7 linked regions of the Kluyveromyces lactis genome follow. The protein of the gene in region 7 interacts with the protein of the main gene of each other region in a biochemical or structural test. Links are inferred from orthologs where the notes say so. Each region holds a gene or a part of one and is shown on either strand. Other genes may lie near its edges. The genes, in order: KLLA0_D15565g, HOG1, CDC53, CKA1, CKS1, CDC34 and SIC1.

The links.
Region 1: the proteins of SIC1 (region 7) and KLLA0_D15565g form a complex in vitro, tested with the Saccharomyces cerevisiae proteins (4 studies listed by BioGRID). The link is inferred for Kluyveromyces lactis from reciprocal best matches to the Saccharomyces cerevisiae genes SIC1 and CLB5.
Region 2: of the proteins of SIC1 (region 7) and HOG1, one has a biochemical effect on the other in vitro, tested with the Saccharomyces cerevisiae proteins (3 studies listed by BioGRID, with this or other methods). The link is inferred for Kluyveromyces lactis from reciprocal best matches to the Saccharomyces cerevisiae genes SIC1 and HOG1.
Region 3: the proteins of SIC1 (region 7) and CDC53 form a complex in vitro, tested with the Saccharomyces cerevisiae proteins (2 studies listed by BioGRID). The link is inferred for Kluyveromyces lactis from reciprocal best matches to the Saccharomyces cerevisiae genes SIC1 and CDC53.
Region 4: of the proteins of SIC1 (region 7) and CKA1, one has a biochemical effect on the other in vitro, tested with the Saccharomyces cerevisiae proteins (2 studies listed by BioGRID). The link is inferred for Kluyveromyces lactis from reciprocal best matches to the Saccharomyces cerevisiae genes SIC1 and CKA1.
Region 5: the proteins of SIC1 (region 7) and CKS1 form a complex in vitro, tested with the Saccharomyces cerevisiae proteins (2 studies listed by BioGRID). The link is inferred for Kluyveromyces lactis from reciprocal best matches to the Saccharomyces cerevisiae genes SIC1 and CKS1.
Region 6: of the proteins of SIC1 (region 7) and CDC34, one has a biochemical effect on the other in vitro, tested with the Saccharomyces cerevisiae proteins (2 studies listed by BioGRID, with this or other methods). The link is inferred for Kluyveromyces lactis from reciprocal best matches to the Saccharomyces cerevisiae genes SIC1 and CDC34.

The regions. Positions count from the first base shown.
Region 1 is NC_006040.1:1,315,343-1,318,756, forward strand, and holds KLLA0_D15565g (uncharacterized protein), read right to left. Parts: upstream 2,010-3,414; coding exon 783-2,009; downstream 1-782. Other genes in the region: KLLA0_D15543g (cyclin family protein), read left to right, coding at 1-37; KLLA0_D15576g (uncharacterized protein), read left to right, coding at 3,045-3,299. UniProt on the Saccharomyces cerevisiae protein: Required for efficient progression through S phase and possibly for the normal progression through meiosis. Interacts with CDC28.
Region 2 is NC_006042.1:1,865,518-1,869,148, reverse strand, and holds HOG1 (mitogen-activated protein kinase HOG1), read right to left. Parts: upstream 1,941-3,631; coding exon 606-1,940; downstream 1-605. Other genes in the region: ATP-binding cassette glutathione S-conjugate transporter YCF1, read left to right, coding at 1-363. UniProt on the Saccharomyces cerevisiae protein: Proline-directed serine/threonine-protein kinase involved in a signal transduction pathway that is activated by changes in the osmolarity of the extracellular environment.
Region 3 is NC_006042.1:536,311-540,905, reverse strand, and holds CDC53 (cullin CDC53), read right to left. Parts: upstream 2,986-4,595; coding exon 547-2,985; downstream 1-546. Other genes in the region: SRF1 (phospholipase D regulator), read right to left, coding at 3,801-4,595. UniProt on the Saccharomyces cerevisiae protein: Core component of multiple cullin-RING-based SCF (SKP1-CUL1-F-box) E3 ubiquitin-protein ligase complexes which mediate the ubiquitination and subsequent proteasomal degradation of target proteins.
Region 4 is NC_006041.1:381,660-384,802, reverse strand, and holds CKA1 (casein kinase 2 catalytic subunit CKA1), read right to left. Parts: upstream 1,930-3,143; coding exon 808-1,929; downstream 1-807. Other genes in the region: CAP2 (F-actin-capping protein subunit beta), read right to left, coding at 2,349-3,143.
Region 5 is NC_006039.1:1,374,504-1,376,869, forward strand, and holds CKS1 (cyclin-dependent protein kinase regulatory subunit CKS1), read right to left. Parts: upstream 1,048-2,366; coding exon 649-1,047; downstream 1-648. Other genes in the region: protein kinase MEC1, read right to left, coding at 1-240; HSL7 (protein arginine N-methyltransferase), read left to right, coding at 1,405-2,366. UniProt on the Saccharomyces cerevisiae protein: Binds to the catalytic subunit of the cyclin dependent kinase (CDC28) and is essential for its biological function.
Region 6 is NC_006040.1:771,372-774,352, reverse strand, and holds CDC34 (SCF E2 ubiquitin-protein ligase catalytic subunit CDC34), read right to left. Parts: upstream 1,559-2,981; coding exon 680-1,558; downstream 1-679. UniProt on the Saccharomyces cerevisiae protein: Catalyzes the covalent attachment of ubiquitin to other proteins. Capable, in vitro, to ubiquitinate histone H2A. Mediates the initiation of DNA replication (transition of G1 to S phase in cell cycle).
Region 7 is NC_006040.1:497,063-499,975, reverse strand, and holds SIC1 (cyclin-dependent protein serine/threonine kinase inhibiting protein SIC1), read right to left. Parts: upstream 1,630-2,913; coding exon 826-1,629; downstream 1-825. Other genes in the region: GTPase-activating protein RGD2, read left to right, coding at 1-567; BOS1 (Bos1p), read left to right, coding at 2,336-2,338, 2,454-2,913. UniProt on the Saccharomyces cerevisiae protein: Substrate and inhibitor of the cyclin-dependent protein kinase CDC28. Its activity could be important for faithful segregation of chromosomes to daughter cells. It acts in response to a signal from a post-start checkpoint.

The sequences.
Region 1 (3,414 bases), about 820 kb from region 7:
CAACTATGATATAATGACACTACATGATTCAGAATAAATCACGAGATTCGATCATTTAAAGAAACCATGATCCTTCCGGCCTTAATTACTGAGTATGATTGGCCATTGTAGTGCCAATATGAAATGTTATCGAGGGACTTTTTCCTATAAGAAGAAATTCGAATCACGGGGTCAGAGATATGGAATCAATCTGATCCAATACTCAATTAGTTTCTGGGAAGTGGAATAGTACATGTTGCGCGTTAAAGGGAGGCATTCTAAAAGCATACTAAACCCAAAAAAAAAAAAAAACGATAACTATACTAATACTAATCATAATAGAAAACAAACATTGTAATAATTAATCTAGCCAACCCACATGTGTCAATGTGTTTTCCATTCAACAGATAAAATGAGGATTTAGACCTTAGTGAACCCTTTACTTCAATTCACTTTTAATATTTCACCTGCTCAAAAACTCAGAAAGAGTTCTCTCAGGATCATCAGTATCAGCATTATGTTGCAATCATAGGTATACCCACCCCTTACCCTTTAAAGTATAACCACTTCAAATAATTTACTTCTTATGTACACTTAGCATGTTTCTGAACTAATTTCAATTAATGAATAAGTCATTTTTTAACTATTATTATTAGTTGATTACTCGATTAATTATTTATAAAATGCAATGGATATGATTATGAAGTAAGAACATCTTGAAATGATGGGAATGCGAGACCGCAAAAGTAGCTCGGGGATGTGAATGAGCTTAAGATCCAAAAGAACTCGGAAGTGAAAAATTATCATAGTGAAGTGGAAGATGCAGGTGATGATGAAGCGTAGTCGCTAGGGTTCAGCTCTTCATAAGTACAGTGCTTCAAACACCAATCATGGATTTTGTTCCATGTGCCAATTTTTTTGTATTTGTGAATTAATGCATTAAGTTGTGTTGTTGGCTTAGCAATATCGTTTATCAGAATTTGTGATAACTCTTTTAACTCTATCTCATTATCTTTGAATGAAAAGCATGAATAATAATCCCATAATTCGTCCCATTGGAAGTCTTCATGCACGATTCTTTGTGCAGTGAACATTGCCACGGACGCAATCTTAGAAGGCACTACGTCGATGAAGTGTGGGCACGAAATCATATATCCAATTAAACACTTGCCCAAAGTTCTAGTGATTGAATCGTACTCATCACATCTGGATATTCTTCGTAGAAAATTTAATGGGTTAGGCCATCCGATGTTGTATTCCAGTTTATTCAGAATGACAAACTCGGCCTGTTTGATTTCATCGTTGCTGTAAGCATTATCTGTGATATATGAGTAATTTGATAGCTTAGGAAGATTCACCTCCTCAAACTTGGCGGCAATCAATAAAGACGTGATTGCAATTAATTGTAACTTTGGTAATGTAACTTTGTTAAAAGAAAGATATCTATCCATGAGGTTTATCGAAAGGTACAACGTTTCCGGTAACAGTTGAAACTTACAATGAACCTCTATAATCCAATCAACGAGGATCGATCTCATCGTCGGTCTCAAGTAAAATTCGTAATTTTTATCCTTCAAATAATTGATCTTTGGCGTAGTTTCAAACTGTCTCGTGTAAAGATGGTCAAAAATATCATCCGAATAATCATAACACATCGTTACATCTTCTTTATCCTGGGAGTCCAATTCTTCTCTACGTCTTTCTAAGCTCTCGCATTTCAGTCTCTTATGACTTTTCCTGGGCTCTAGAATATCATCATCTGAACGCACATCTGATTTTTGTTCCTCATCATCATCATCACGGTATATCTGTCTTTTCAACGACACTGAACTCGTTGTCTGTGAAGAGTTCCCATATATCTTATTTTTACCTTCATCGACTTGTGAATTCCTCAATGACCCGACTGAAGATTTCAGTTTATTATCGTGGAGTGGCTGCTCCGATAGCGCGACACGTTTCCTTTGGTGTGAAGACTTCTCCATTGCTTCTGCGTCACTAACACTCCAGCTGCTCCTGGTTCTCGGTCTCATCTTAAAATCTATACTCTATCGTTCTGTCTCCTAGTATGTGGTAAACATATATGCTGTATATATATATATGAAAACAGTTTCAACAGGATAGAGAAGAACTTAACCTGTTAGCGGTAACCCAGCCAGCCAATGTCACCAAAATCTTGGACCTGACAGACAACACACAAATCGCGTCTCTTTCTCTTATTGTTCTTTCTTGGCCCTAAAACAACGAGAAAGATACAATATACAGAAAAACACCGAGTAATCGACCGTGCATATCCAGTGGAAACAAACAAAATCTGTTATACACGCTTTCATAGACTAACAGCAGGTCATAAAATTCGTGAAGTTCCTTTGGAAGCTCTAACAGGCCTGTCTTGGTTCAAGGACTTTCCAATTTCGCTTTGTAGATTCGCATCTTCGCAAAGTGCTGACGCGTCAGCACGCCAAAAACGAAATTTGAAAAAAAATTGTTTCGCGTCTTCGCGTTGTCCGGATCTCAATCACGTGACCAAAGTATTCCGGACAAAATGGAAACTGTCAATTTATTTTCACGTGATTTAGACGGGAAAAAAGTCCCGTTTTCTATTTCTGATGAGAGAGAGAGAGAGACTCATTAGTATGCGACATACAGCGATTATCGCTGACTCCTCTTCCTTCGAGCGATTTGCCTGGCATATATCGTACCGGCTTACAAAGTCAGCCCAGTACAGCCAAGGAAAAAAGGCAGACGTTCGCCGAGTTCTATCAGTCTTTCGCTACTATTCCTCTATCTTATCGGTCGGTCTTTCTTAGAACGAACAGATAATGAAAATCTGATATCGCCATACGGCTCCATTGAGATTTATCAGATTAAAGGGCTCGAAGAGACAAAAGGTACACCGTTCCATAGTTAGATTATATAGTACGAGAAACCTACCGTAGGTATATAAGTAAGGTTACAACCGATTTTTGGGGGGTTTTGTCCAAGATATAACATCATTTTCTTTTGTATTCATCTGATTATTAGGAAGAACACTATCTATTAACTAGATAAAAAGCAGCGCAAGGAATATGGAAGGGTTCAAGTCTAAGTGGGAAAAATTTAAGAGATACGTTTCTGGGAGTCCAGTTGAAGGTGAGAAATACGATGAGGCTCCTAAGGTCGAGGATTTGCCTCATATGGTCGATGCAGACGGTGCTCTTGTTGCAGTTTCTTCCGGGAAACACGATTTGTCCCCGGTGATGTCTGCCAAGTACAATATTCAACCTGGGAAATCCAATAATGGTTTGGCTGAAAACAAGGCCATTGACGATACTATTAATTAGAGAGGATGTAAAGACTTCAAATATTTTGTATACACTACCAATATTTTACCGTATAATCGATATTCAAATTACTTACTGCATCGAGAATTAGCTTTGGGATTGATGCTGTATGGGG
Region 2 (3,631 bases), on a different chromosome or scaffold from region 7:
ATGGGATCTAATGGTTTGGAGACCATGCTTACTGAAGGTGGTAGTAATTTAAGTGTAGGCCAAAGGCAATTGATGTGCTTGGCTCGTGCCTTGTTGATTTCAAGTAATATCTTGATTTTGGATGAAGCAACTGCAGCTGTTGATGTTGAAACGGATCAATTGATCCAAAAGACGATTAGAAACGCATTTAAGGAAAGAACAATCTTAACAATTGCTCACAGGATTAACACAATTATGGACAGTGATAGAATTATAGTGTTGGATAAAGGTAGAGTAACAGAGTTCGACACTCCTCAGAATTTGTTACAGAAGAAGGATTCTATTTTCTATTCGTTATGTCTTGAAGCCGGCTTAACGGAGTGAAACCCCCTCAAGTTGTATTATCATAACAGAGATTTTGTTTATTTAAGTACTTTTGTAATAATTTTGTTAAGCAATTGTTTCCTAGTTGAGATGCCCTATCAGAATTATAAATAATATTCGGTTTATCGTAAGAAACGTGTAAATAGTTACATTTCTGCTGTGATTAAAAGATGCTTTATATAATACGAAATAAAAACAAAAAAAGAATATACTTCTGTCAAGCAGATTTCATTACATTGAACTTATTTGAATTTGGAGACGTATTGGTCTGCTTGATTAGCAAAATTCGTCAATGTTTCGTTTGCTGGATCAGGGCCAATAGAGAAAGAAGGGTTAGAATTGGAATTAGAGTTAGCGCCACTTTCAAGTTGTTGTGGGGTCACTTGAGCCTGGGGAGGAGTAGAGGCGATTGTCTGTTGAGTTTGCTCTTCAGTTTGGTGTTGTTGCTGCTGCTGTTGCTTAGAGGCAGCCTCCGCGGCGGCGACAGTGGCAGCGGCTACTTGGTCGTCGAAAGTAGCATTTGTATTGATTTGTGGGTCACCGATTTGATGGAAATCCAAGATCTCGGAATACATCATTACACGCCAGGTGTCAACAGGTAAGTCAGCATCGTTGAAATTCCAATCAAACTTAGCTTCTGCGATAGGTTCGTCGGTTGGGTCATGATATGGGGAAAGGTAAGGATGGGCCAAGGCATCAGCTGCTGTAATTCTCTTCTTTGGATCGAACACAAGCATTTTTTCTAGAAGATCTATAGCATCTGGTTCCAAGTTCTGGAACCTCGAACTGAATGGTACAGGATCTCTATGAGGTAATGAAGTAACAAATTTGAGAGTGTTCTCTGAGCAAATAGTGTCTATGACATCTTTTGGAGGCGATCCTAATAGATCAGTGATGATAGAAAATTGATGCACGTGATCTTTACCTGGGAACAAAGGCTTACCCTCGATCATTTCGGCAAAGATACAACCAGCAGACCAGATGTCTACTTCAACATTATATTTTTGCCAGGTCAACATGATTTCTGGGGCTCTATAGTAACGGGTTGACACGTAACCAGTCATTTGAGGATCTTGAATCCTAGCAAGTCCGAAATCGCAGATCTTTAAATCACAGTTCTCATTGATCAAGATATTGGAAGGTTTCAAATCTCTATGGATCACACCTGCGGAATGAACGTATTTAAGCCCCCTCAAGATCTGGTATAAGAAATATTGAACGAATTGTTTTTCCAAAGGCCTTGTCTGCAACAATCTATGTAGATCCGTCCCTTGCAATTCAGTGACGAAATAAATATCTTCTAATGGTGACAAGAAGATATCTTCGAGACAAATCAAATTCTCATGCCTTAGATGCTTTAACAATTTGAGTTCCCTATACGTTCTTTTTGCCAGTACGGAAGTAGAAAACGGTTTCATAATCTTCTTAATCGCTACAGGCTGGCTTGTTAGCGTATCTGTAGCAGAACAAACCAACCCGAAGGCACCCATACCAACCGGGTTCAAATTAGTATACCGATTGGTAATTTCGAAAACTGTACCAAAAATTTGAGTCCTAATAAATTCCTCATTCGACATTTTATTTCAATTGGAAAAACGTGTCCAGCTTCGATATCCTCGAGTTTTTGGTTCAACGAAGGATACGTATATGAATCTAATTCTTTGGGAGATCGCTCGAACTGGCAGATAACTTAAGCAACGTTATAGCAATTGTTGTCGAAGGGTCTCCTAGTTTTGTTTCTATCAAGTTTTCTTTAATTTTCAATTTTTTAAATTTAACGACTTGAATATGAAATTCAACGGTTCTAATTCACTAAAAAAAAAAGGAAGGGCCTGGCAAAAAACGATGTCCATTCACCGATAATGGAGGGGAAAGTGTCACAGTGGGAATTATATAAAACACTGTTTCGAAGATTTTATCACCGTTTGGTTCTGTGATTAACCCTGAAATACTGCCTGTGTACTTGTTTCCTATTTAAGACGTAACAACAGCTCTGACAGATAGGATCGACGTCGGCTTGATAGATTGGGTTATTATATGTGTATGCATGTATGTATGTAGAGTAAGATTTGCGAACAGGAGGGGCAGTGGCGGATTATGATACATGACATCCGGGTAATACTTCTACTGATATCACGTGATAAACCAAGTAAGAAACCCTTGAGAAGACCACCCAATTATTGCACACCTGTGAATACCGTGACGTTACATATTAATACTGGTGACCATAAACGTTAAAGGTACTTCTTGATCAATAATTATACATTTCCTCATTTAAAGTTTCTTTGTAAGTCGAAATGACAGTTTTTGGACAGACATCAATTTGAATAAAGTATGGTTTGAAACCGCCTACTTACATACAACGTGATCTGATAAGAAAACTTACGAGACAGGGTAATAGATGCATAGAAACGGATTAGTAACTTGATGTTACCCGGGAAATCACACCTCTTGGTTTTCTAGGCATGGAATAGAAAAAATGGACGAACCGTGAGATGATTTGCAGTAGGTAAAACCCACCGGCCGCGCCCTTGACGCTCTGTCGTAGTTTGTAACCTACTATCGGCGTTTCCAGGGTCTATTTACAAATCAAGCCATGACATCCTTCTCTACTGGTGACTGATCTGACTTACACTCAACATGAGTCGAACCCGCGACTCTGGAATACGACGATATACTTGAGATTTGTGATTAGCGCCTTTAAAGCCCTATCATGGAACCCTTGAAACGCGATCGCACAGGGTAAACAAAGCACACCATCTTGCAGAAGCAAGCAGACAAAGGGGAACGAATCTGATTAAAGAGTGAAATGCCCAAAGTCTAGAACCTTTTTACAGGGTACCAAATATAGAAGATTACGCAAAACTATAAAACCAAAACAACGGAAATCAAAACAAAAAGAGTCCGCAGCAACTACGTAATTTTTTCGTGGATTCTATTGCCTTGTAGTATTGCGTAGAAAATTGCTCGTAGAAAATAATCTCCCCCTCAGTTCTACCTGAAAAATTTCGAGTTCATATCGCTCGCTATCTGATATCTTGAATGAGACCATCTTTTATTTTTTCTCATCTGGAGTGGGATTTTTTTAATATCTTGCCTATGTTACTATAGATATGCGTTGCTAGCTATCTTCGATGCGGGCGTGCGTTATTTGCCTATTACTGAACTTTGAGCACTATAAGGGTTATTACGGGCGATCTTGGCCATCCCAAGCTATCCCTTCGAAAGGCCAACTTCTTGGTATATTCTTAAACCAACCAAACCGAGA
Region 3 (4,595 bases), on a different chromosome or scaffold from region 7:
AAACACCTGCCATCAAATGTAGAGCAGTTCCTTTTTTTTTTTTCAGACTCATTCATGTCATCGAAACTGCCTTGATATGGCTTGACTCATCTGAAATCTGAATTTTTTCTTTCCCATAATTGAAATATGGTCAATGAAAAGAAATATGGTAAAATTCCCACTCAATTTCGAGCTAAAGTCTAATCATGACCAATTTTCGTGAATATTCCTGTGGATTTTAAATCCGATGAACGTAGATTTTTGCAGCAGGTATTGACAAACACCTTCCGAATGATGCTAAGGTAGTCACTGAGAGTAGTGAGAGCAGCAAGAGAGCAGAGAGGGCTACCCAAGCATTTAGGTTTGGCTATTGAGTAATGAATAGTATACTCGTCGGTCCTTTCATGATGTCTCTCTTTTTTTCTTGGGAATATTCATGCTTGAAAATATGGGGCCCAAGGTTGACCTTTGGTCGAATGGTCGAATGGTTGCGAAATATATGTTGATACATATACATTTCTTATACATATGTATGGCGAAGTAAAAGGTGGATAAAAAAGTGAGCGTTTACGCTAGATATTCATAGCATTCACCGTCGTCTGTCCTTTTCAAATACTCTTGTTCTATTAGATTGTCGACAGCTTTTTTGATCATGGACACCTTGGCGTTGAATCTCTGTTGAGATTCGGCAATACACTCGTTCATCAATGAACTGTGTGGTAGTTTTCTCTTTGCCTTCATAATTCTCACTATGCATGCTCTTAAGAACATCAATCTTTGTTGATTTAGTTCCTTTTCTGCTTTCTTTTGCTCAGATGCCTCTGTTTCATCTAATGCAGATCCATTAACGGTTGCAGTAAAGGTTAGATCATTTTTCACAGCGGCTGCAAAATTAACACTAGTTTTCGATAATCGATAGGGTTTGTTTAAGGTGTACTTTGTATCTAACTTGATCATACTTTCCACCCCTTCTGGAGATTGTATTAATAGTTTCATCTTCACAAACGGATACATATTAGACGCAATCTGTGTAGCCTTCAAATTGGTTCTCTCTTGTATTTGTTCAAAGGTCAACGTAGATATATCATTAAACAAGGTAAGAATCGCCATTTGGAAAATAGTCACAGTGAATTGGAATGGTGGTTTGCCTGGTTTACCAATATGTGCCTTGATTTCACCACGAGACATTGGCCATAGCCATTTCAATATTCTACCAGAATGCTTGTCAGTATACATGGTTTCCAATTTGTTCTTACTATGTTCAAGAACTGGTGGTAATGCGAATTCTGTTGGTTGATAGCTGAAGGGCCATACATTGTCTGCAAGAATTAGAGGTTCTAATTCAGGAACTTTGCTTCTGAAAGTTGCGGCGCTAGTAGTATTATTCCCATCTTGTGAAATGAACGTGGAAAATTCATCATGCAAGTTTTTAGATAATTTGACATCTTGTAGCATCTTGGTAATCTTGCTGGTGTATTCAAGACTGTTCTCGGACTGTAGTCTTTGGATAATGATTTCTTCATCAGCTTCTGATTTTGATGATCCATGAATTAATCTTTTTGCTAAATTTTTTCGGTAATGCATCTCAAATGCATCCTTGTCGGCCAAGAACTTAAAGACAGTCATGATATCATCCACGGTCAAATCTACCTGTTCATTATTCTTGGTCGACTTTTTGAGCAACTGGTCACTGTATTTCGCCAACATCTCAGGAGCTCTAGAAGTCGCAAATTTAGGTGAACCAGGAGGAATAGCGAATGAGTTATTGTTAATGAAGCAACGGCATCCATAGTCTAAAGCCTTAGCAAAAGCAGGATGATTTTCAAAACATTCTATGGTGATATTGTAAAAGAGTTTGTAAACTCCTATTAAACATTTCAAGTAATCTCTAGGTGATAATCCCGGTTGCCTTTTAGCGTTTGAATCTTGTGCTGCACTCTTATTATGTGCATCAATTAATTTATCGATTTCTTCATTTCCGACTCTCTTGATGTACATATCAAAAGTATCCACCAAATCTGGTAACATTCGGTAATCGCGTTTCATCAATTCGTATATGAGCTTAATCAATCTTTGATCTTGCTTATCCAAAAGTAAAATAAACTCTTTTTTTAACTTATCGGCATGATCAGCAATCAAAACTTGGTTCAAAGCTGTAGACAATGGTGCCGATGTATGGGAATCCAAATATAAAATCATGTCCTTTTCTTCGAAGATTATGCATTCATTTGCCTTTTCGATGTATTCAGAGACACTGTGAGAGTCTAAGAATTCGTTGGACATCTTCGTGTAGTATTCTTTTGTCTTCTGTAGGAATGGCTGTTCGAAGTTTTGAATATACACATTCAAATTCAACTTCTTTAAGTCTGATGGATCGATACCTAATATCACAAAGGATTTTATTGCTATTGTAATAGCAGATTTATTCACTAATTCACCCCTCCGCTGCAAATCCAATTGATCGAATATTTCAGTAACGAGTTCCGTCTTATGTGTTTCAAACATAACTTCTTTCCACGTCATCAAGCACAAAGTATGTGCATCGAAAATGTGTCTTTTACCATCGCTTCTTTCCTTTTGCACCCAGTAACGGTTCATATAGTCGAAGACCCGATTTAAGAAAATAGCTCCGATTGTAAATCTTTCCCAGCGTCTCACGTAGAAATTCAAAAACGTTACATTATCATCTTTCTTTAAATTCGATATGTAATCTTTCAAATAATTCTTTAAGTTCTCATAGATTTCTCCTCCAACAAGAATCGAAGATTGATTCATTTGCTTCCCTATAATATCAGATTGGAAATGACCTGTAGAACGTGACTTGTTGACACAGTAATTATAAATCGCCGTGTATACCTCCATGTACATCCTTGGGGAAAGAACTTTCTGAACTCTGTTTGTCTTTATATCCGATGTACCATCACGATCCAAGATCTGGTCGATCCCAGGCTTCACAAAGTTCCATGTTGCTTCCAAATCATCTGATCTAGGTAATGTGTCTGCCATAGCTTATTAGACTTGTTTCTTATTGATTGCACGTGTAGTTTCTTTTACCAGTAATATTTCTATTGAACGATGCCTAAGTTATCTTTTCTGAAGCGTTAATGAGACTTGCTTCCCACTAACCCAGTTAAATATACGCTTTAGAATAATAGTATTCCCAAGGGCGCAGGTAGCGGTACTTGTAAATAAAGATTTGGTAGTAAACTGAAATCAGCAGCGATAGAAAATACAGTTCGAGTCCCAATTAGTCGAGCAACCCTTTTCAATGAATCGAAAGAAAGGATAAAACAGAATAGAAAGCGCCTTCACTGCTAAATATGAAATGCACCACTTGTTGGCGGGATCCTATAAAAAAGGGTCACACAGGAAAACTTTATATTGCTTCTATCGTGAAGTATCTCCGAGTTGTTCGATATTTTGACCCTTTTTGACAGCCTTACTTGTTATATACTGATTTATATAATTGCATACTATGTTACTATAATTTCTTATATTTTTGTTTTCGTTTGCCACACATTATTGGAATATCAAAAAATCCTGAATTGTTCCTCAATATGAATCTGATCTTATTATTAAAGTACTTAAAAGAGGGTAAGGATTACAGCTTTCGGCAAATATACTTTAGCATACTGCAGTCGTCTAATTATGTTGTTTAATACAGGGCCCAAACTTATATGTTTATAAGGTTTTCTTTGGTACTTTTGATTTTCTTTTGTTGGGTTTGTAAACAAATTATGTACTCTCATGGAATAATGATTTATTTAAAACAATTAATCTACAGGCGTCTTAAGTCGGAAGGGCCCGTTTCAAGAATAGTCTTAGGGTCTTGGAGCACCAGAACTGACTCTTTCCACGACCCTTAATATGCTAATACTGAACGTTACAACCCAAGTGACCAAGACCAAGAAAAGGAACGCCGCGAGCGCCCTTTGTTTGTCACATATATATCCTACGTGCGGAGGATCAACTTGTGACGTTCCAGTAGATGTGCAGACCCATCGATTATCATATAATGTATTGAAGGTAAGCGATAAATTAGCACTTGAAAATATGATGAATAAAAGGTCCAGCATAATTAGTCTGACTTTAGTCATAGGATCTCTAATTCCTAGCGGTTTCCCTGAAAATTCGTCATATCCGATATAAACCAAATATAATATAGCGATGGAATTAACACATAGCGCCATGATAGTACTTGGTTGTTGAGGTATTGATGATTCGAAGGATTCGACAGTGGAATCCGAGTTCTGGTATATTCTACTTGCTAGGCCAAGAGAGATTATGCAGAGTATCACAATGAGAAATCTCAACGACAAAGGTAGATATTGACTTTGCAATAAAAGTCTTCGTAGTCTTGGTAACCATTGTTGTTTTTTTCTTTGTTCAAGGGTAGCCCAAGAGTTTTTCTTACTATTCACACTATTTCTCCCCTTGTTTAAAATAGAATGAAACCTCCCATCGTCACTTGAATGAGTTTCCGAAGATTGTTTCGCAGAGTCCTTATTCAAGTAGTAAAAAGCTTTGAGTTGGGAAACGTATTTAAGCCACTCATTCTTGTCTCGTTGATTACTCAATTCGTAGCTTTCAGGAATCGGAGCGTTGAAGATAGCATC
Region 4 (3,143 bases), on a different chromosome or scaffold from region 7:
TTTAGTCGATTGTTTCCAGATTGTTTTGTTGTCGTACTATTCAACTCATTGTGATTATAAAAAGTCTCGCCGATACTTGCATGAGACATTATTTGATAGATTTATCACGAAAGAAATGTACAACAGAGAACTTTATACAAAAGTTTTGAAAAGGCAATTCGATATTTCCGTCTCCGAATATCACCTTCAGAATATCTGCTCGTATCATTCTAAATTCCTAGTTAGATTAGTCCTTTTGGGCGATGACGATGTAACAAAAATCCGGTTTGCTTGTCATGTCCTATACACCATGGAACTATTGATCAAAGAGAAATTACTGGATTCACAAACATTTTGGAGTGATTTAAAGGCAGGAACGGATTCTGCCTTTCACGTTATTTTCCAGAAAAGGTGGGAATATCTTATGAAGTTCGGAAAAAGATTAACAATTCCTATTGTTCCCTATTTCGGACTAGCATTCAGATTCTGTCTACAGATTTTGTCATCGATTTTGGAACACTGCAGAGAAGTTCATTGTGACGGATGTAATATCCTTCAAAGCAAGAGGTATGTTCAGAGTGAGTTATTGATGTTGAAAGACAAAACGTTCATTGCAGAATTTCAAATGCTTGACTGGGCTCAGCTTCAGGATCAAAACAGTTCCACAACATCTGAAAACTTTCTCAATGAATGTCAATAATAAATTCGTAGATTTAGAAGCACCCGATCAAAATATATCCTCCAACACTTATTATAGGAAAGCTCACACAGTTGTTATTAGTATTATTATTATTATTAACTTCATAAAAATATTGATCTATGGAACGGTTATAATGTGTATTCGTTGTTTCTAATTGGAGCAAACCATGGATGAGCCATAGCTTCTTTACAAGAAAATCTTTCTTGATGGTCGTAACGAAGAAGATTATCGATTAAATCAATGATATCATCGTTTCCACATAGGTGCTTGTTGGAATCATTGACGAATTTCTGCCATGGTCTTCTGATGTATTGATCCATATCAATAAACTCATCTGGGAGTGTTATCTGATATTTCTGTAAATATCTTTCGAAATCATCACTACCCAAGACGCGTACAATCTTGACTAGCTGGTCAGTATTACTCGACCCATAGAAGAAAGGCTCTTTCAGAAAAACCATTGATGCTAACATTGCTCCAAATGACCATAAGTCTAGCGAGTAATCGTACATTCTATAATCAACTAGAAGTTCTGGGCCCTTGAAAAATCTTGACGCAACGCGGACATTGTATTCCATCGATGGATGATAAAATTCAGCCAAACCCCAATCGATTAGTCTCAATTTGTGTTGCTTATGGTCAATCATTACATTGTGTGGTTTGACGTCTCTATGCATAATACCCATCGAATGGCAGTAGTCCAAAGCTTTCAAAAGCTCGAACATATAATAACGAATATCAAGATCCGAAAATGAAGCATACAACCTACGGAATTCCGTATTGTCGATATGTTCAAAAATCAATGCAGGTGTCTTGGATATGGGATCTCTGACCACATCTAACAATGTTATAATATTCTCATGCCCGTTATGAGGTAAGTCATATACTTTATCTCTCGCATATTTCAGTACTTCTTCTCTTCTGTTTGTGTAATATTTTGCCTCATCGTAAGGTTGCGCAGTTGGCGGATTCTTCTCATTCGAGAGGTTTGCAAGTATGGTAATTTCTCTCTTAATCTTCTTCTTCTTCACAGGTTTTAGCATCTTAATGACAATCTTATTTCTCGTGGATAACTGTACGCCTTGGAAAACTTCACTATATTTACCACGGCCAACTTTGCATTCAACTTCGTACTGTGAGTTATTAGCCTTCCATTCTATTGATGTATTTTCATAGTCCCAGTATCTTTGACCACGAATCTCGTTGGCATCACTATAGACTCTTGCCTCACTCCACACTTTCGATTTCATCTTCCTTTTAATAATGTACTGGAAAGTCTCTAAAACTACCACGAAATTAACAACGAGAACGATTGCCAGCCAGTTTTTTGTTGACCTTTTCTATTTCTATAAACAGTGGTAATAATGAGTCCGAGAAATCCAAACCACTCACCGTATATAATCCAGTACGTTTGAAGCTTTTGTAATGCCTATACTCAAACTGGAATTTTCATTTCTGGGTTATCTGATTTCTTTTCAGTTCATGTCTCTCTTGCAAAAATTGACATTTCGAAACTACAGTATGAGGAGTTAGGGTAACGGTTTTATGTATAGAACAATTCTAGCCAATAATTGTGTTGACTGACGAACCGGCAAAATATAATGGTGTTCATTTAGCATTTATACGTAGTGTATGTGTGTATAATTTCTTACTTTATTTATTCAATTGATTATAATTTCTGGAAGTTTTCAATTAATTCGGAGTGTTGCTCCTTTTGCAATTTGGTAGAATCATCGTTACGTTCTCTCAACACGTTGTAAATATCCAACGTCTTTTCGAAATACACGATTTCGAGCATTGATCTAAGCTTAGATTCAATATCTTCAATCATAGATCCCAAGCTGGAAGAGTGAGCGGGTACTAGCTGTTCAACAGTAGATACGTTTTGCAATTTTACGGTCTTGGAATTTTCTCTAGTTAGATTACCGGACAATGATAGTTGTTGTTCTTTTGATAGGTTTTCCAAGTGCAAGATCACCGTTGTAGTGACATTATATGTGACTTCCATACCCTCTTCATCGTGGGTGGCAGATATGACGTGGATACTGTCCCATTTAGAATCATCTGATTCAGCTTTCTTGAAAAGAATGACTCCCGCGAAATCAGTTGATTCATCAACGTCCCAGAGATACGTTGAAGTGTAACCACCCTCGTAGTATAGGTCCCTATACAACTCGAAAGAATTGTTGCATGCAACTTCTAGTTCTCTCAATGGCTCACTGGGAAAAGGACTTTCTTTCAAATCTTCGGCACTCAATTCAGGGAAGTACTGGTTAGACCACGGTGACCTATGAGAATCGATGTCACGGTTGTAGTCGCAACATAAGAATTCTTTGTTGTTAGCATCGGTATCCTTCTTAATGGTCAATGGGATATCAATTGAGGAAAGTAATCCTTCTGCGATTTCAGGCTCCAACGCAATAAGGTTCTGTAAATGGGTTTTCACCTTTGTTGGATCCAATCT
Region 5 (2,366 bases), on a different chromosome or scaffold from region 7:
ATTGGCTGAGAAAAGGTGTTGGTTGCATCGCAGAAATAAATCAAGTGCTTGAAAGGATTTGTGAAAGATCACCTCATCCGTATTCGTAGATTGCGTATTCTTCAACAATGTCTGTAGTAATTTCCCATTCTTTTCATCTAATTGCAAAGTGCTATCTAACTCTATACCATTTCCTACAGTTCCTGCTGATTTTAACGCCAGTATCAGTTCTTCCAGATATTTTACCCTAGGATTATCCATTTCCTATACGCTGAGAAGATATTACTCTTACACGGCAACTGCACTCTCAATCACACTCACCTAGGACGCCCTAACGAGAGAAAACTGTGTTTCTTTCATAGTCCAGCGTTTGTTTTTGGTTAGTTTCATTATTTATAATTTGACTTATATACAAATTTTGGTATCAATAAGGAATCTCAACACATACATAAATGTGGTATGTACATATGCTAAACACTTCTCCAGAAGTACAATTCAGGCGTCTTAAGCCATTTGCAAGTTTGACAACAGAAGACTAACTTACACAAAGTGTGCAGCCAGGAATTGCAGATCTTTGGGGAAACATTATTCTCTCTTATTAACAGTGTAACGCGTAAAACTGGAATACGATTTTCTTATTATTTCATTTTAAAGTCTTTAGTGGGTAGTTCATATATTTTGACTTTGTTGGCCTGCAGCAATTGATTTTTGCTGCTGCTGTGCGGCAGCATGCGCCGCACGTATTTCAGCCTCGTAATTCAGTGGTCTCTTAAATAGTAAAATATGTGGTTCAGGCGCATGGCATTCGTAATGTTCCCATCCCAGAGATTGTGTAATTCCTAACCCTCTCCATTCGTCTTCTGTTAAGATTCGCAAAGTACCAGTGTCTCCGTTGAAATAATCAGAAGGTATCACTTTTAGCATGGCCTTGGGAAGCATTACATGTCTGTATTCGTGTGTATCGTCGGAGTATCTTGGTGAATAATGAATGCTATCTTGAAATTCGAGAACTCTCGTTCTTTCCTGATCAGAAAGCTTTCTGCCTTGGAAAGCGTGCGTCGAATACATTGTTAGATTCGATCACAACTTAAGCTATACAATTGGAGTGTTAATTAACCCTAGACTACTGATGCTGGATCTTATTCGCTCATCACATATCATGTCTTTAGCATAACTGAAAAGATCTTAGGTATTAAAATAGTATTGTTTACAAAAAAAAAATGAAAATAAATATTGTTTAGGACAGAAACCAGATCCGTCACTATTGATGGTCAGAGATGAGGTAAAAGAATAGGACACAGAGCTATCACTGGTGTAGTGTCTACCATAATTACGGTATAGCTGAAGAAGGGTTTACCAATAAACGTTTGACTGTTGTTGTGAAACTGTTCTGCGTGCTGCGTTTGTGTGTTTGTATGTGCTGAAATGGCAAGTCGAAGTAATGTTTTCGTCGGGATCAAACCTCACAGTGAACATTCCGCTGATGTTCTTGGAACTTCTTCTACAGATAAAAGAGTAGAGAATTATGACTATGTGCTGCTGCCCTTGACAAATACCAGATACAAGGATGCCATGAAGGCCAAGTTTGAAGATTTTCGAGATCACGGTCATGGATGGAATGAAGAACTAAAGTTAGATCCTCCTCAATTGCAAGAGCTGGGGGTATTGCCATCTAATGGAAATGTTTCATATATTGGATTGGTCTCTTACTTTTTAGAGCTCGAGAGCCATGATGCTGATGTCCGGACTTTATCTTTGCAAGTGTTGGAGCACGAATTGCATTATGCAAATTTCGTTGGAATCAGACAGGTTATCTTAGCTCCTCCTAAAAAGTTACACACGCTTCATTACTACGCACAATCTTTGTGTACAGTATTTGATACTTTTAAAGAAGCGTGTCCGACAATATCTATTTCGTTACCTTTGTTTGAAGATTCAGATCCACTTTCGACTTGGGAACTGTGGAACACGATCAGGAAAATGTGCGGATACGAGCCTAAATTGACTGTATCTCTAGCTCTACCTAGACAGAAGACTCCCAGTTTTGTGCTAAACAGATGGCTGAGCGAACCTGTCACATGTCTTTTGATCTCTGCATCCATATTCACAACAAATCAATACAATTACCCTGTATTGAATAAATTTAATCAGCATTTAATCACTGAGTTCCAACGTGTTAACGGTAACGCATCAACATTTGGCGAACTAGCTATCGTTTTACATGGTATGGAGAAATACACGGATAAACTCAAAATTGAACCTACACAGTACCTAGAATACCTCAATTATTTATTGAAAAAGGGAGATAAGCTCATACTAATGGAGACCCAAGATGTTGTCCACAGTGCACCTACAATCATGCCTCCGCTACTACCCCATCATGATAA
Region 6 (2,981 bases), about 270 kb from region 7:
TGTTTAGTGATTTATCATCAGTCCGAACAAGTTTACGAGATTGATGCATGATTAAACGGGAAAGAAAAGAAATGAAGGATGCATAGTTGTCAAGACAATTCACATAATTAGAACTCATTTCCAAGGAACTTTCTAAAGTTCGAATTCATACCATTTGAAAATCTTTCAGGCATTTCCTCCTTTGTCTTTCTTACAACCCCCTTATATCTCATATCCTGATGGAGGTCCAAAACCAGAAAAAACATTCCATAGATATTGCACACAGCACCGGCTAGGGTTACTGTCATCGAAAAGTGTTATTAAGTTATTAGTTACTTGATGCATCGTTAGTTGTTCACTTTCCAATATAATATCTGAGGGGCTGAAATGTAGATTCAGCGTTATGGTGAATTGAAAAAGGACAGTTTCCAGTTTTATGTTTGGTTATGACAATCATCATTTAGAGGTGCGAATGCTCCAAACAAAATCAATAAAGACGTTGAAGTTGTTACAGGTTCATGAATTTATACTGGAGGTCAAAATAGTATATCACTACAGTAGTAACCAAACTTCAACGTGTGTTTATAATTGTATATTGAAGTAGAAAGACAAGACAGTAGTGAGGAAAGAAATGTGAATGAATGTGATACGCTGAGAAGCACTGCTTCTGAGGGAATAAAAAAGTTGTAAGGGATTCATATCATTTCATTTCTGCATCTTCTAACTCCTCGCTTTCTTCCATTAATTTACTTCTTCTATCCATTACGCTTTCATCTAGAGAATCTTCTGCTTCTTCAGGCACCAGATCTTCATCTTCATCTGAGTCGATATCGTTTTTGTTAGCTTTTTTGCTGAAATTCAAGTTTGAAGAATCTTTGCTGAAAACATCGTCATTATCCTCTTCATCTTCTGAATCCTCGTATGCATAGATATCCACATCTTCATCACCTTCGTCACTGTCGTACCAGAAATTATCGGCAACGGTTTCTTTGATGGTGTCAATACCTTCATTTGCCTTTCTTTGGGAAACATACGCCTTTGTTGATTCTGGCATCACGAACCCTTGCGGGATATCCTGTTTTGATCTTTCCACTTCGAGTTTTACCTTTTGTTTGTACTGATCCGGATTCTTCTTGTAGTCAACAGCAGCGTCGACGTTAGCTGGAGAGGAAATATTTGGATCTTCTAACAAGGAGACAATAGAAATCAACACTGATTCCACAGTCTGTACTGGAGACCAAGTTTCTTCATCGGGCTCATCCGAGGTGGGGTTCCCCGATTGGTGTAAGATAGAAATACACAACCTACCATCACGGTAAACGTTCGGGTGGTAAATTGCTGGAGTAAATCTAAAAGTTGGAGGAGAAAATGGGAAATCGTCCGGGAATTTCATTTGAGCCTTGAAATAACCTCCGTGGTAGATGGATTCCTCATTTAAGACCATTACACCGATGTTCCACAAGAATATGTTTGAATCATCTTCTAATGCAATATGGAAACTAGGAATAGCCTTCTTCGGATCAGTGAGTTCCCTGTATTGTCGTAATAACAAAGAAGCTGCAGTATTCTTGCCGCTCATACTTTAGAAAGAGTATTTCTATGGTAAAAAGATGTTCTGTGTGCTGATTGAAACTTCCCCCTTTTTCCAAAACTGATATATCCAGACCAAGAAAGTTCAGTTATTAGGGCTGACGATTAGAAGTAACTGTTGCTTGGTGTTCCTCAGTGATAAGATATCTCCGAGTAAATTTGACAATAATATGTTGCTAGAACTTAACAAAAACGTTAGGAAGAGAAAGAAAAAAGTAATGAAACGTAAAGCCAAACAAAAGATAGGACAATACAATATACCAACTGAGTAGTGTGAGTTTTTGCGTTTGTACAAGTATACCCGCCCAAAAGTCTATGCAACCTCTCCTTATCACCTGTTTATTGATACTCTCATTTAAATGCAAATACAATAATTTGTAATTAAAATTAATAGTTGTCTGTGTTTTGACCTTTTAAATTTCTTCTGAAACTGGTTTACAAAAAAGAACCAAGCTGAATGCCGAAAAGTCAAGAAAAACCGTCCCAAGACAAAATAAGCAAAAACCGTTGGGTTGTGTACTCTTGGAAGATACCGTTCTATTGTTCAGGTTGGGGGTTTAATCGATATTTATACTATAGCTATATGTCTCTATATTTTTTACCGTCTTGTAAGCTTTTCGTCCCCAGGCATTATTCATGTTGATTTGCACAACCAGGTATGCGTTAATAATCCATGGATGAAAGTAACAGTATTTAAGGCATCAACATTTACGCATGAATGTTTATTTTCCAATTGATGGGGAATGCGGGGGCCAATTACATCAATTTTTTCGAATGTATCTAATGCATCCGGCAAAATATCACTTCTACCGCATCGTTGTGAGAGCGTGCATTTTAACTGATAAGCTGAACACTAGGATTAAATGTGAATCGGAGAACTCTGGTAGTCAGTTGTTACGTTCAAGATTCTTATTTATACTCTAGACTAGTTCTTCATCGGGCAGTAGTATATTCTGCTCGGCGTCAGCAAACGTTAGACTCGCCGCTTTCACCGATAGGAACAGTGGAAAAGTTCACGTGACCTTAGGTCACGTGAACACCAATCACCATCTCCTTCTTTTCTCATTCTCGTAAGGTTTTCCGAACTGAGCCATAGGGCAATAACGCTCATCAAGTCTGAATCGTACCATTTTGAACTATACAGCACTTCACCATAGCTCAACAGGCCTAATTCCCTTACATATTCACCTCAAGGTGGATGTTTTGCTGAGATCCTGCCGTCCTCACATTCGGAACGTTATAAGATTTGTATCTCGCGACGGCGTGTTGGAGTTGCAACTCGATGCTATATGTTTTCTCGTCTGCGCGCTTTTCTTTGTGTGCCGAAATTTGTTTTCGTCCAAAGTACTTTCTTTGACTTATTTTCCTTTAAATCAGAAGATTATTTCTTGTTTTTCTGTCTATTTACTATT
Region 7 (2,913 bases):
ATTGTATGGACAAAGCCTGTTAAACTTCACGAAGTTCATCAACTAAGGCAACTTTTAATCAAGCCATTCAAAGAAGAGTCTGAAATCATCGAAATATTACGATCTAAAAAGGTTGAACCATCAACAGTAGCTAGCGTATTCAAAATTTATTTGCTCGAATTACCAAAATCGCTTATAACAGAGGATGCGTATGACATTCTCAAAGTTCTATATCGAGAATATCCACCATCAGACATAAAAGAAGAAACCGAAAACCAAAGGGTCCGTGGTCTTACCACTGCATTATCCACATTATCAAAATCCAATATGGTGACCTTAGATGTGATCACAACCCATTTCGAGAGACTAATTGAAATCATTAGAATGAATAAATCTGAAGAAAGTCAAGAACTTGCAGAAAATTTACGGGATGCCATTAGCCAAGAGTTTGCAAATTGCCTAATACATCCAATTCTGCCAACAGCTAATGAACTTGGATACAAAGTATTTGAAGATTTGTTGAGGCATAGAAAGAAAATCTTCAAAGAACTCAAGAGAAAAGGATCAAATCCATCATCCAGGGGTTGATGAAGGGTTTTTGTTAATATATATGACTTTTACATAGAATTAACACTCTGCGACGATCAAAAACGACAATCTTATTTCACTGAAATATTCTACGAAAATTATCGTAAGTATTGTATTTATAAATATGATGTTTTAGCAGTTTTTGTTATGTAGTGTTACAGGGGAATTCCATACCCTTCTTTCCTTATGAATTGTGTCGGTACCGTTAGCTATAGTTAAAAATAAAAAATAAAAACCCGTTTTATTCATGTGTCTTACCTACCCATCATGCCTATCTATTTCTTCAGCAAAGAGTCTCGTAGGTTTAAACCTTTGTTTCTCATCGTCAGTCAAATGTCTTTTAGAAACGACCTTCCCTCCTTTATTCACATAAGTGATTGTATCTTCCAAATCAGGGTCCTCAAGTAGCATCTTCTCTTTACGTTCTTTTCGCAGTTTTTCATCAGCAATATTATTCGAAAGAAATGGATTCTCTAAATTACTATGTTGGTTGACTGCCGTAGGTTGTTGTTCAATATGAATATTTTCTTCTTCGTTTTCTGATTGCGATGTATTCAGACCAGACTCGTTATGCCATTTTCTAGCAAGTTCAAAGGTGGTGATCTTGTCACTTGGAGTTCCTGGCTCTTGTTTAGCAAGTTTGAATTTGTTATTGACAGCATACTCATCATTGATATTATAACTTTGAACGCCTTTGAAAGACTCCATTATACCGGTTCTCTTTGGTGGTAGCAAAGTCCTGTTGTTTGAAGTTTCTTCTACTTGGAAATCCGATCCGAACAAGACCCTACTGACAGGTTGTAACTTCTCCTGGTCAAACTCTATCCTGCGTTTCGTATGTTTGTTCTTATGTGGGGTATATTCAGGTGTCTTTAATGCCGGGCATGGACTTGTTAAATTCATGGGTCTAGTAGGTGGCTGCAATCTATCCTTTACTCTAACTGTCCCCGGAGTAACCATGCCAGAGGAATCAGATTCCGCGGCTCGCTCTGGAGTTGCGAGCAGCAAATCTGTCTTATTTGATCTCTTATTCCTAGAACTTGGAGGGGTAGCTGGGGTCATTATTATGGAAATAAGAGTGTAATGCGTAGAATGCAAAAAAAAAAGAGGATAAACTCTAGTATTACCAATTGAAAGCTATTGATATTGTTTTCAGATGTATCGGTGTGTTGATGAGATCTAAATGAAAAGTAGCAAAGATGGTATAGAATGTATACTATACCGATGATATCCCTTTTTCTGTCTAAAACAAAACGGACTGAAAATCTGGCAACTTATAATGAAGCAAAAAGCAGAGTAGGTTGAAACCAGTTTCCAGTAACCTCACTATCGTCAAGAAGGAATTTGATATGAAGAGACTCTGATTCGATTACTTAGGTGCGTATGCAACCGCTCTATGCTGGATATGGTTCGCTGTTAAACTATCTTTATATATAGATATATGTGAGACTCAAAACCAGCATCTTTAATTTTTTTTTTAATGTGAACCACTAATAATATTGAACCAGCAACAATTTAGCAGTCATACTTGAGTAGCAGTAAATAACTTCTAAACAAGGATTGCGTCTGTGAGCAGTGGAACCACTGGAAACTAAGAAAGTTTATGGAACATTCATACGCATTGGGATAATTCAGATCGATCAGAATTGACGATTGACGCTCAACGTTTGACTCAGCATTTTCCTGTATTTCTCAAGAGTATTCCTTTCTTGAATCTTTTGGATCTTCATTAGCGATCAAGAATTTTTGCGATCACAACAGGGCTAAGATGGTATGTTTCGCTGGAGCGCTGCTCTAATTGTATTTCTACATTTATAGACACGCGTCGCGTATGTGTTACTTATTTACTAACTTACCTTAATTATTGTTTCCCACGATATCACTAGAACGCGTTGTATAATCATGCCATCAAGCAGCGAAGTCTTCTAAATAAAGACTTGGGTAAATTTGAGAAAGAGCTCGTAACAGCGCCGATCTCTTTGCAAGGGGCGATCGCCACAACCCTTGTTTCTTTCGAGAAAACGCTTCATCAGTACAAGGAACAATACAAGCAATATCAAATAAATAGTTCAGATGACAACGACGAAACTAAACTAAAGTATGAGACGAGACTTCAGACCTTAACACAGGATTACGAAGATGCAAAAGAGAAATTTACCGAATTGAAGCAAAAATACTCAGAAATTAATGCGAGAGATCAGTTGTTCAACCAGCAAGCATCAATGGTGGAAGAGACCGTGATGAATAAAAGGAACATCAATGCTCCTCCGCAAACATCTTTCGGAATAGGCGCCTTAGATCAGAACAGTGAAAGAATGACTATCAATTCGGCGGCTGGTTTACCAC